2 linked regions of the Caenorhabditis elegans genome follow. The protein of the gene in region 2 interacts with the protein of the main gene of each other region in a pairwise test. Each region holds a gene or a part of one and is shown on either strand. Other genes may lie near its edges.

Region 1 (5,432 bases), on a different chromosome or scaffold from region 2:
TGATTTTGAGAACGTACGCTCCATCGGCCAAAGCAATATCCATTTCGACACCTTTGTGGAACATATTCTTAGCAGCAAGTAGTCTTGATGACGGTGGAACTGATGCTGGCATTTCAAGTTCTTCTGGGTCCAATGGTTCATACTTGAATCAAATAAAATATAAATTGACAAAATATCGGATCATAACATACCATGACACTATTCATCGAAACTAGTGGAGTCATAATTCCAGCCGGTAAAGCCATATACGATTTCTGTGGCTTCAAATTTTCCTCATCAAACGGCATTCCATCAATATCTTCTCCATCGTCCTGCTGGTCATTTTGATTCCATGTGTTCGAAACAGAAGCGTGTGGTCGTTCAGCTGAATGTTTTGGAGCTTGATCAAATCTTGATCTTCTCATGTTTGACAGTGGAGCATTAGGATGATGCGATGCAGGTCCGGATGATGGCCCATGACGAAACTCTGTAAGAACCAATTTTTAAAATTTTCAGACTAAATTTCTATTTCTCACCATCAATTTTTCTCTCAACTTCGTCAATTTGTCTTTGAATATGCTGGGAATATGTGACATGCTGTTGTTCATATCCATCAAACGTTGCCATCAGATTACTTCGAATCGACTCCCGAATTGTTCCATAAGATGATTTTTCAATTTCTCTGTCAGTGCTAACAATTTGAACTGTATTCCTGAGTTGTTTGAATACAGAATCAGCGAAATATTGTCGACCTTCCCATTCTCCTAAAAGCTTTCCTTCTAACTTGTTGCTCAACTCACTCGACGAAGAAAGTTCTATACAATATGCATACATTTTTGGAACGTATCGAGCCAGCATTTTCATTTGATTTTCTTCTTTTTTTCTTTGACTGAAATTTGGTATTTAACGACGTTTTGTTCAGTATTCTAAGCTTACCAATGAAATGCCCAATCATTGATTAAATATAGAATATGAAGTCGTAGATATTCTCCAGATGCTTCATCTTTAACTTTATTTAACAGAAAAGACAGTATTATTTCTCTCAGCTGATCGCTTGTGCAGTATTCGAAAATCCACTTTTTCGCTTGCTGAAGAAAATTTTTCGTCAAATTTCTTTATTTTTTGAAAAATTACTTACTGAAATCAAATCTTTAGAGCATTTCGGTGTAGCCATTGCATCTAAATAGGAATTGAGATCTTCCACGTTCAGATTATTCTGACTCAACATCTTCTCAATTTTCATTGTTTCAGAAGTTCGAATAGCAGATTTAAGATGTGCCTGGATAAACGTGGATACAAGATTGTATGTTTGCAAAACACACCATTAGGAGCTCGTCCATTCCATTTCTGTGAGCGTTCAAATTCTGCTCACTGTCGATAATCTTTTGACGTAACTCATCGATTTTCTTGCGCCATTCGACAATCTCTGGTGGATCCATCAGAGAAGGAATCGACTGCCGTTCTGAAAAGTCAAAAATTAATGATTTACAATCTTGAAACGTTTAAAAGATTCAAACCTGGTGGAGGGAAGTCCCTAGGGAGTGGAATATCGCCACTGCGCCATGATTGACCGTGCTGAGAGCTACTGCCACCTCTCCAGCTAGAATTTTCATTCATGTCGTCTAAAAGTTATATGTTTATATGATCAAATATTTTATCTCTTTCTTGTGACAAATAAACAATATATATATTCTGCATGGTTTTGCAGAAAATTTGCGGAGGATTTAAAAAATAAATCGAGACATGCGCCAGTGATCAAGTTTTGCGTCAGTGAACAACGTTTGCGTCAATCATTTATGTCTGCTACCCTCCTAGTCTCACACACTCTTTTTCTCTCTTTTATTTTATTTTATTTTTAATTTTAATTTTAACACTGCACGGTACAAAACATATATTTTGCTTTTTTCAGAATGGAGTCGATTGCAAATCCATTGTATTTCTTCTCCAACTTGTCATTAAACCCGCCATCCTGCTCTAATGTGGTCAGATTCATTGGTAATTGAATTTTAATTAAAAAAACGAAATAATTATGTTTTTACAGATGTCCTTGAATTCTTTTTCGTGGCGCATCCATTATCAGGACGAAAAGAAGGCGAAGAACATAATCGTGTGATGTATTTTCATCCGAAAGGCGAGCAATTAGAGAGACAGGTTTTCAATATCGTAATACTTTTTATTCTAATAACTGTATTAATTTCAGACCGAAATAACAGGATTCGCAGAAGCCGTTGTTAACTTTACAGAAAATTTCTTGAGCACCTCCCGTCGGGAAATCAGTGAAAGAATTAGTGAAAATGAAGATGGTTTCGATTTCCGAACTGTGACGACGCAGAGAACAGAGCACGTTTATATTCGTACAGAAGACGATCAATTTATTCTTGGAGTATCAATTTCTAAACAATTATCATTGGTTTCTGATTATCCTCTATTTCAACCAGCGATTAGGAGTATACTTTCCGATGCCTACAAAATGTTTCGAATGTTTTTTGGAACTTTTTCTTCTTTTATCAAGTAAGTTAAAGTCTAGTTTATAAAAATAAAAATATCTTTCAGAAATGTTCCCGACGACATTCCAAAATTCAAAGAACGCCTTGATTTTTTCTTCTCCAAGTACATCCCACTACTGAAAGTTCACAAAATGCCACTACTTGATCATCTTGGAGGCGTCGAATTTCTACGAATGTCTGGTCCTCTCTACTTGAACGTTGTTTCTTTACTTTCCGAACTTCGTGAAGAATTCCAAGTTATCGAGAAAATAATGTTCTTGTATCAAGATAAACTTCTCTACTATCAACTTTCGAAACGCGATCTTCCATCACTATTTCATTATTTGACACATAATTTGCTTCCAACAACATTGGCTCCAGAACTTGAACATTCTGGAAGAAATGCTTCAAAAGGAAGATATCTACGAGGACCAACAGATTTAACAACAGATGCTCCGTTGCTCGGTGATGAGTCACTTTCTGTAGTTCATTTGCATTCCGATCAAGGAACTGAATTTCAAGAAGAACTCATCGGATACCAGATGATCGTTTATCGATGTCTAAATGCAACAGTTTGCATGTTTGTCAGAAATTGTCCAGCAAATGGTGGATTAGAAATCAGAAGGGATTCTGGTGAGTTTTTAAAAATAGTTTTTCGAAACGAAACGTTCTTATTACGTTTTGAGAATAAATTGAAAATAAAAAAGCGATTTTCAACTCTTGCTAATCTGCTAATTTGAATTGCCGCTCTTTTGTATCTAAAATCCACCCGTAGAACCGTGCCGCGCCTCGTTTTTTTGCAATTGTACCGCAAATTTGTCTTTTTGTGTTGTTTTTTTATTCTTAATATAGAAAAATGGCATAAATGATCAAATATATTTTTTTGTATATCAAAAGAATTAAAAAATCGTATCGAACCCGAAAAAAGTACATGTTCCTGAAATTCTAAACACAAGGAAACGTTTTTAAAAATGATTTCTAAATGCTTTTGAAATAGGAAAAATATTTTTGAACATTTTTGAATTTTTCTTCATTAAAAATTAGTCAAGAAACACAAAAAAGAAGAATTCGTGTCGAAATTGAAAAAAAAAGTCGAAGTGCGGCACGGTTCTATGGGCGGAGTTTAGAGACAAAAGCGTGGTAATTCAAATAAAGGGATTAGCAAAAGTTGAATTTTCATCAAAATCAGATTTTTTCCAAATTTGGTGGATTTTTCTCATCTTTCTTATGTGATATTTCGGCACATTAAACTACTTTTAAGGTAATATCTACATTTTCCGAACTCCACCTTTAAACAAAATAAATCTTTTTCCGACTTATTTTCTTTTCCAGAATCATCTCAATCATCTCGCGCCACTCCTTCACAGAATGGTGTTGTCAGTCGTCGACTTCTTCGAAATATTGATCAGTTTTTGGAAACCGAACTTTCACAAGTAGCGAGTAAAATTGGTGACGAGTAAGTTCAAACTTACATTATATCACAATAAATTCCATTAAATTCCATTAATTTCAGAATCGGCGACGAAAAGTTCCCGGAAGCTCCAGATTTCCATTACATTTACTTCAATCCATCATCGTTATCCATGACCTCAAGCCTTTCAACATCTCCGAAGCTTCCCGTTGCCGCTTCTGGATCTAATTCAACATTAAAAGTACCACTGCCACCAGTTGATGTTAATCGTTTAGTATGTGATACAATGAGCAATTTTGTGTCGGAAACTGAAGAATTTGGTGAATGTTTCGTCAAATCTTCAAGTGATTGGTGGATTGTTATCAAAAAGGTAACAACATTCTTGGCAAAAACAAAATTCAATGTTTTTATTTTTCAGGTTAATTCTCGCCTCCTTGTCTTAATCATTCCTCCATCCAACTACACATCATCCCTTGCCGATGTCCAATCAAAAACTGCAACAATTGTTCGATCCCATTTCGAAGCCATATTTTTTAGTTGATAATATTCATATTTTCCCATGCATGTGTGCCAAAATTTTGTGATATTTGCCTATAATTCAATTCCGTTGCCTTGTACTTTTATATCTTATTCAATTTTTTCTACAGATCTATATTTATATAAAGCTTTTCAATTTTAGAACATGAGAAACATGTTGGGCTCCACATATACTGCCGGGGAATTTCGAAAATCGGATGAGTGCCCTTTGATGCTGAAAATTAGATTTAGTCAAAAGATCTGATCATGCTCCCCCTCGACCACTCCGACGGCTCCTTTGCTCTTTTTCCACACGATTTTCGACATTTTCTTCAAATTTCTTCTTTTTCTTCTCTCTTCAGCAAAAAGCTTTTCATTTTAATAATCCAATTGACTTTTGAAATTTCCCCCCCCCCCCCGCACTCTCATGACTTCTTGCCAAAAATTTATATATATATTTCTGATGTTTATATGTATATGTGTCGTCAAGGTGACAAATGCATGTACATTTTATAAGGGAGGTCTGAGAAGAGAACCACCAAGAAATAAAGTGGGTGGAGTTTCTTAAAGAGGCAAGAAGGCAATGAGATGGAGGGGCAGGTGAGCATATTGAAGGGAAAACGAATTTATTGCTCTCTCGATATTGACTCTCGGGGACCTTCATTTACCCTCTTTTTGAATGAGATTTTCTTTTGCCCAAGTGAGATTTCGTCTCGCCACGAGCGAAAGTTTTCAGCTACCGTACCCTCTAGTACTGTAAATTTTTAATTAAAAATGTCACTCAACAAATTTGTGGCCTTTCCATGAAAACACCCAAAAATCCGAGTAAGACAAGAATATAATTGATGAAATTGAGCAAAACACTCTCACAATCAGGTACATATGTACCAGGGATGCCACCAAAATTGTTTGACCAAAAAACAAAAAAAAACCTTTTTTTTTCAAAAACCCAAAAATTCAAAAACCAAACCAAAAAACAAAAAAAGAACATCTCTGTCGGTTCCTGTTACTGAAAACTTTCGCTCGTGTCCCAATGAGTT
Region 2 (7,264 bases):
AGCTCTCGTATTATTTGATAATCAAACATATCTCAATCCATCAGTATGATCATCAATATGTCATAATTTTGAGCAATAAAAACAAATATACTTGTAAATATAAATTATTTATTTTAACTGTTTTAACACGCATTCCAACAACTTATTCGTTTGCTTTTCGGCGAGATTTTTATTCATATATTCTGGGAAAACAGCTGTCATTCTGATATTTGAACGACATTCGGTAGATTTCTGATTCAAATTTGGTAGATTGAACTGAAAAGTTTGGTGTTTGAGATAAAATGCATAGTTTGATAATGGACTCACATGAAATATCATAAACTTTTCTCCAGAGTTCCGAAGATAATCACAACTGAATCGATTTGCACTTTTTAGCTGTCGAATCCAGTTTACATTTTCTTTGTATTCATCTAAAAAGGACCAATTTTGATAAAGGTTGTTAATTTAAAGTTTTATTTTAAAGTTACCTGAGATGTATGTAATTTCTTGTTTCAAATCGTCAAACTGTATTCGATAAGCATACATTTCTAAGAAAAACTCTGATGGTTTCAAAAACTTTTCTAATTTATCCTCTTGTTCTTTTGAACCTGGAAATGTTTTGAAAGTGTGTGGAGGTTGTTGGAAAAATTGAATTACCTATTCCTAAAGAATCAACGGCTTTGACTGAGTTCGGTTTTACAGTTTTTTCCAAGCACTGATTGAATAGAGGGAGTGTAGATAGTTTCGCATTAGCAATACTTATAGAACACAGCTCTTGTATCAATGAATTAATTTGCTTTTTTCCGTAGGAAAGTAGAATATCCATTTTTTGAGTCATCGTCTGAATAAAAGTTTTGAAACTGAACCTAATCCACAATAAATTTACCTTGTCGTCCATGGTTATTCTGGTAAACACCGACGAACTAAGTGACATTGTCGAAAGGGCACTTCTCCAAGAACTTATTGAAAATCTTGATTCCGATCTAGGTTTCTGAGTTGGTGTTGCTGAGTGCCTGTTGATTTGAAGTACCTCCGTCTCGATTTGATTCCATATAGACTAAAAATGGTTAATGAAAGCTTTCTTTTTGCACATCTACGGGAAAAGATGAAACCTTGCAACTCGATTAATTCAGCAGTGATTTCAAAGCCTATAGTTTTCAAAATAAAATTAATTTTGTTAAAACACTATTGTACCACAATATTTCGCCAATCACTGTTTTAACGTGGAACTTGTTTCTGTTTGAAGAAATGCTAGATCAGTGGTGCGCGGCCATTGCCGACCGGCAATTCTATAAAATAAGACGGTTGGGCATGTTCCGCCGATAATTCCATTAAAACTCAATAAAACAATATAAAAATATATTTGCTTTATTTGAAAATGATTTTTCTTTGACTTGGAACAACCGAGAAAGTGTTCAAAAATTGTCGAAATGTTGAAAATTTCCGGTGAAAATTGCAGTCAATTTTTCGGCAATTTTCACCAGCAATTTTCAACATTCAGACTATTTTTGAATATTTTTCCAATTTCCTCAACTAAAATTACATTTATTTTAAAATAAAGCAAATATTTTTCTATGTTGTATCATTAAATATTATAGAAAAATATTGGGGGAACATGCCCAACCGTCTCATTTTGTACAATTGCAGGTCGGCAAAAGCCACCCCTTTGCTAAATTATACATAACAAATACAGTTTTTAAAATTAAAGTTGTTATTGTTGATTGTGCTTGTTTAGAACTATTCTGCAACAGTTCACGCAATTACCTACGAATCAAGGTGCATGATGTTGTTGAGAAACAAATTCATTCAATGAGATAATGCCAACTACACTGTGTTATCTATTTTGACCTTTTCTATTTCCAAATCAACATACCTTGAAAAACGAAGATGCCCTTAATGGATTTCTCATGAATGCAGCACAGTATGTGTCGGGAAGCGGTTTTCTACTGAGAAGTAGTATGTGAATATCATTAATTGTTTTGCGGACTTCTTTCAAATCTCTAAAAATATATTTTCTCAGCTTTCACACGTTTTTATTCTGAACAAACCTATTCAGATCTTGACTTATTCTGAGCTGATCCAACTGTTTTGAGAACAAATATAAGTATCTGATCAATGTGTTTTCTGACGATTCCACGAGACAGACTAATGTCATGTTTTTGAAAACTGTCGCACTGATAACATTGACATAATATGGAATTAGGCCTGTCGTTGATCGAAGCCAAAACTGAATCAGAGAACGTGTTATAAAGGAAAGTGTACAAACTATGCAAACCTGCTCAATCTTAGTGTTTGCATCACATTTCGACGTGTTTGATACAATGTTTAGTAGATCGTTTGTGTTGAGCCCTTTCAAAACGTCATCGTTACCTTCAACAGAGTTGTAAGTAGCAATGATGTCACCCTTAGAAAGTAACAGACATCTGAAAAACATTGTTTTTTTTATTCAATAAACACAAGAAAAAATTACCTATTGTTGTCAACAAACACGTTCAATTGAGAAGAAATTTTATGAAACGTATCCTTCAACTTGGCTATTTTGTCGAAGTAAAATAATTTTCGTCGGATATCAATGAATGCTGAAACAGAAAACCCGTTATTAACGCAAAAAGCGAATAAGTACTAAACCAAATCCTTAAAATAGTTAGTTTTTCTTTGTGACCAACGACATTTGAACTTTATTCTGCTACCAACGTCTTTCTAGTGCAGAAAATTACAAAACAAGCGTATTCAGTTTTGTTGATACACAATAAACTACTAGTAGTGTAAACCATAATCAAAACTAACATTTTGGGCTGTATGACAATTTTCGCGTCAATGCACAGGCAAGATGCTCTTTCGGTTTCTTTACGGTCGTGAGATCAGTGTGACAAAAAGCAATTAATGGACCAAATAACGTCGCTATTGTATGTTCGATTGTTTGAGAGACTTCGATTCGCTTGCGATCGCTGAAATGTTAACATTTGAGAGTAAATATTTTTTGAAAACTCACTCATTGGCAAACACCAACACTAGATAATTGTGATAAAACTTTGAAATTGATATTGTTCCAAATTGTGAAGACATCTCAGTGATGGGATCTTTTGTTTTTTCACTCGTCGACCTGTACAGAAGTATTAAGGGGAGAAGAATATGTGAAATTTCAGATGAATTAAATACAACATTAGGCTTCTTGAAGTGATCTAACGATGATTCTTGTTCTGAAAAATCATATTGGCACTGACAATTGAATGCTATCCACTCACCTTCTGTACACGTAGAACTTCCAACTCCACTTGATGCAGAATCTAGGTCAGATTTTCTGCTTGTAATTTCAGATTGAATTAAGCTTTGAAAAATAGTCTGAAGTGCGTTTTATTCAAACATGATCAGTTTAAATTTTCCACATACCTTGAATTCTTCATTCCCATCAAGAAAAACAATTGAATTTTGTTCATTAACAACAACATAACCAAACATTTTGAACGAGTTTACCTGGAAAAAATGCATTATTTGCGAGTAGCGGGCGGAAAAGGTGAAGAGTCGCTACAAGCTTATCAAATATCAAATTCAATCAAACTCAAATTTTTGTTAAGAGTACAGACTCTTTATCGCGTAACCACGGTAAGTATTATTAAATAGTTCAGTTTCACATGCCGATCATGCCCACGCTGAATCAAACCCAAATTGAATCTTGTGATGTAAGTTTTTTAATTTTAAGAATAACGAATTTGGACTAAAGTTGAGCATAAAATGTTGTTTAATACAAAACGTTATTTGACGCATATTTTTACGAATCAATGAACTTGCCGTTTTAAGCTTTATATTTACTATAGTCTCGCTGTCAGGATTACATGTCAGATCGTTCTTCAATTGGTATATTTAAGAACAACACTAAAAGTGTTCTCTATTTTCTTTTATTTTCGTATTGTAATGAAATTTTTCGGTAATTGTTTTCCGGAAAATCGGCTAATCAGCAAATTACAGGAATTGAAAAGAAGCCCATTCCTGAGCTACAATGTAATTCTTGATTAGACATTTTGAAAACAAAAAGTTCAAAGCAATTAGAGAAACGTTATAACTAATCTTATTTACTTGTTTCCTTATTCAATACATCTATTCAATACAAATAATTGTTGAATTCAAAAATACTTTATAGTTTGTGGAACTTTCCATGTAACTAGGATTGTTCTTTATCATATTGCGCCTTCCATTCCAGACAGATGGATCAATAATTTTATTCTGGCTGCATACCACTTGAGATCAAAAAACACAAAATTAATAATAAATGCGTAAAAACTGGTAAAAAGAAAGACACTTCTATCGTTATAAGAAAAAAAAATTCAATTCAATCTAAAAAAGACAGAAAAATAAAGAATAAAAAGGGACAGGCATGATTATGACTTATCAATTGGTTTGCTACTAGTACCAGCGATACCAGACAAATATATGAATCAATAAGACAAAACATCGATAATTGTGCGGGAGAAAAGAGACAAGTGCTCAAGAAAGGTAACGAGATGTGTAGTTTGAGTGGACATTGTCATCATTGTCTTTGTCTTATTAACTCATTGTTGATAACAAAACACATGACGACTATATTTTGTTTTTGTGACTTCTGCAAGTATTTAACTCATGCTTCTTGACACTTCCGGGACCTATAATTCCTTTTTCCCCAGCACATATCACAGGTTTGTTTTACAACTTTGTACAATACAATAAATGCTTATAATTTCAACATTATCAGGAAATAGACGAAAGAGAATATTGCGTCAATAAGAAAAGAACCATAGTAATAGAGTCGAAGAGACAAAAACCAATACCGAAACACAAATAGTCATTTTCTTCTCTAACAACTATTTTAGCGTTGACTTTTCAACTTTGAACGCATTTTCTCACATCATCGATTGATAAGAGTGACTTGATACGATACGGTTGCTTGTGACGTTTTAATCTGGAATATTAATAGAGATAAGCAACTCGCACAGAAGGCAAAGTGAATTATATGTACTTATGAATTTTCCACAGAAGTGATGTTGGTTAGGGCATTTAACTCTGATGAATGCTTCATTTGTTTCATCGATGGCTTTCTCTTGTGTTTTTCCCTAGCCATAAGAACAGATGACGTGGCAATTGACATGACTATCGCTGCAAGCCCAAGCCAAATAGAAACGAAAAATGCACTTCTTGCGTGGTCACCAGTTGTTCCTTTGCTTGCAAATCCTGAAAAATTGTGACCGATTAGATTTGAAAACTTGGATAATAAAATTGATGGCGGCAAACCTGAAATCCACACGCCGGAAATAATAGATACTCCGTTGATCAAATTGGTAAAGCCAAGTGCATATGCAAGTTGAGAAGGTCCAACGAGAGCCACCAAAAACGGTGCTAAACAAGCTTGGTAGAGTCCTGAAATGAAATTTTATATGGAAGTACAAAAAACGTTGTTAGTTACCAATTCCAATGCCAGCAAAAGCATTTTGAAGTCTAAATTGCCAGAATTTGTAGCAGAAAGCTGCAGCAGAAAGTGATAACTGAGCTATCACGTAACTCAAAATCATAATTATTCCATTGTGTACCTAGAAAAAAATGGTAAAATAAGATGTATGTGACTTATAGCTCTGCGTCTAGAAAATGGAATGATCGAAAAAAAAAAGAGCGAACTATTTTTTAAATCTCATAGTTCCTCATGCAAAAACGATATTGGCTTGGTACGTAGAGATGCAAGACTGATAGAGAAAATACGGTATATCACATTTTTGAAATAAAAACTACTGAATTACTTACAATTTGAAATCAAACTCAACTTACTTTATTCAAGCTCATTACAAATGTTAGAACAAACTTTCCAGCTATACTGGTCAATCCCTGATATCCATAGAGAATTTCCTTACTGAAAGTCAGGTTTTTATGTATTATACAGTTGAAAATAATAACTTACTCTTCTATATTTTCTGACTCCATCAATATCAAAATGTTGGCAATGTAAATGAACATCACTGATGATGCGAAGAAGCATGCAATTAAGTGCAAGTCGAACTCTAATTTCTTGCATACCTAAAAAAACGTAGCATTATTAAATTAATTAAAAAACTGAAGAAAGTGTACTTTAAAAGCAGATCCAAATGAAAAAGTGCTTGTTTGTTCTGATGGCGGCTTGGTGATAAAGAGACCCATAATTGCAGATACAATGTAGAAAAGGGATAAAAACCACCAGGCTGGACCCCAGCTGTTATACTGCAAAAAATGTTATACTTTGTTATAATATTGTCTAGACTGTACCTTAACCATTATAAACTTCAATGTTCTAGGAAGAATGAATATTCCCAGTCCTGGACCGATTGAGATGGCAGCCATAACAGTGTTTCGCTTTTTTTTGAAATATTCACATTGAATGGAAATAATCGAATTTCTCATCAACCCACACCCAATTCCTAAACAATTGAACATTAGAATATCTTTTTTTTTTCTCCAAAGCTTTTACCCATTCCAAATGTTGCAAGCATTAAAAGATAAATGTTTTTACAAAATGGACCAACGACGAAACTGCCACCAGTCAAAAAAGAGCCAGCAATAATACTGATTCTAGCTCCTGATCGTTGATAAAATATTGAGCAGAATGGTCCTGAAAATGAAGTTAATCAGCTTTCCTTTCACTGAATTATACAAACCCAATATAAGACTGGAAGCCATGGGAACAACTAAAACCGCAGTATCGGCTTGGTCTTTTGTACAATTATACGTTTTTATGACAGGCTCGACAAATCCGTTCATAACCTGAAAGCAGATAAGTTTTTTGATAAATGTTTATATTGTTTTCACTCTCATTTATGAATTTAATTAGGTACATGTGTATTGAAAAAAAACATCTTCAAAAGTAATTTTTTAATTGTAAACGTGAGTATTAGTTTTGAATTTTGAGGAAAACACTATTTCTGAGTCTGAAGAAGACAATACTTTTTGGGTTTTATAAAGATATAAATGAACAATGAATAAATTATTATTTTAATGTGAGATCCTAATACATAAATACCTCAAATCAAAAAAATAGAATAATTTCTTAAACAAAATCAAATACTTTTTTTGGATCACTTCATAAGTTGAAATTAGTTGGTCATTAGTTGAAAGCATTTTCAGCAAGCATAAGTGCATTTTTCATGATATTGCGTAAATATGTGAAAAAAATGGATCCACTGTGAATCCATAAATATAAGCATTCATGTATGCAGGGGTTTCAGATTTTTTTTCATTAACACAATGTTGATTTTTTCCGATTATTGAATATTTATTCTAGCACTGTTTTTTT

The links.
Region 1: the proteins of glo-3 (region 2) and ccz-1 interact in a two-hybrid assay, tested with the Caenorhabditis elegans proteins (one study listed by BioGRID).

The regions. Positions count from the first base shown.
Region 1 is NC_003283.11:13,676,987-13,682,418, forward strand, and holds ccz-1 (Vacuolar fusion protein CCZ1 homolog), read left to right. Parts: upstream 1-1,888; 5' UTR 1,889-1,889; coding exon 1,890-1,974; intron 1,975-2,020; coding exon 2,021-2,130; intron 2,131-2,179; coding exon 2,180-2,490; intron 2,491-2,532; coding exon 2,533-3,098; intron 3,099-3,261; exon of another isoform or gene 3,262-3,411; intron 3,412-3,797; coding exon 3,798-3,921; intron 3,922-3,978; coding exon 3,979-4,246; intron 4,247-4,294; coding exon 4,295-4,417; 3' UTR 4,418-4,553; downstream 4,554-5,432. Other genes in the region: tag-65 (CID domain-containing protein), read right to left, coding at 18-142, 192-466, 516-868, 916-1,067, 1,118-1,258, 1,302-1,441, 1,497-1,596.
Region 2 is NC_003284.9:10,529,959-10,537,222, reverse strand, and holds glo-3 (Gut granule LOss), read right to left. Parts: upstream 3,525-7,264; 5' UTR 3,439-3,524; coding exon 3,370-3,438; intron 3,322-3,369; coding exon 3,225-3,321; intron 3,180-3,224; coding exon 2,972-3,179; intron 2,928-2,971; coding exon 2,767-2,927; exon of another isoform or gene 2,559-2,766; coding exon 2,450-2,558; intron 2,403-2,449; coding exon 2,255-2,402; intron 2,207-2,254; coding exon 2,028-2,206; intron 1,980-2,027; coding exon 1,853-1,979; intron 1,037-1,852; coding exon 866-1,036; intron 821-865; coding exon 637-820; intron 588-636; coding exon 468-587; intron 411-467; coding exon 307-410; intron 256-306; coding exon 109-255; 3' UTR 92-108; downstream 1-91. Other genes in the region: slcf-1 (MFS domain-containing protein), read right to left, coding at 4,970-5,181, 5,242-5,367, 5,414-5,537, 5,770-5,851, 5,900-6,015, 6,067-6,195, 6,241-6,392, 6,443-6,583 and 1 more.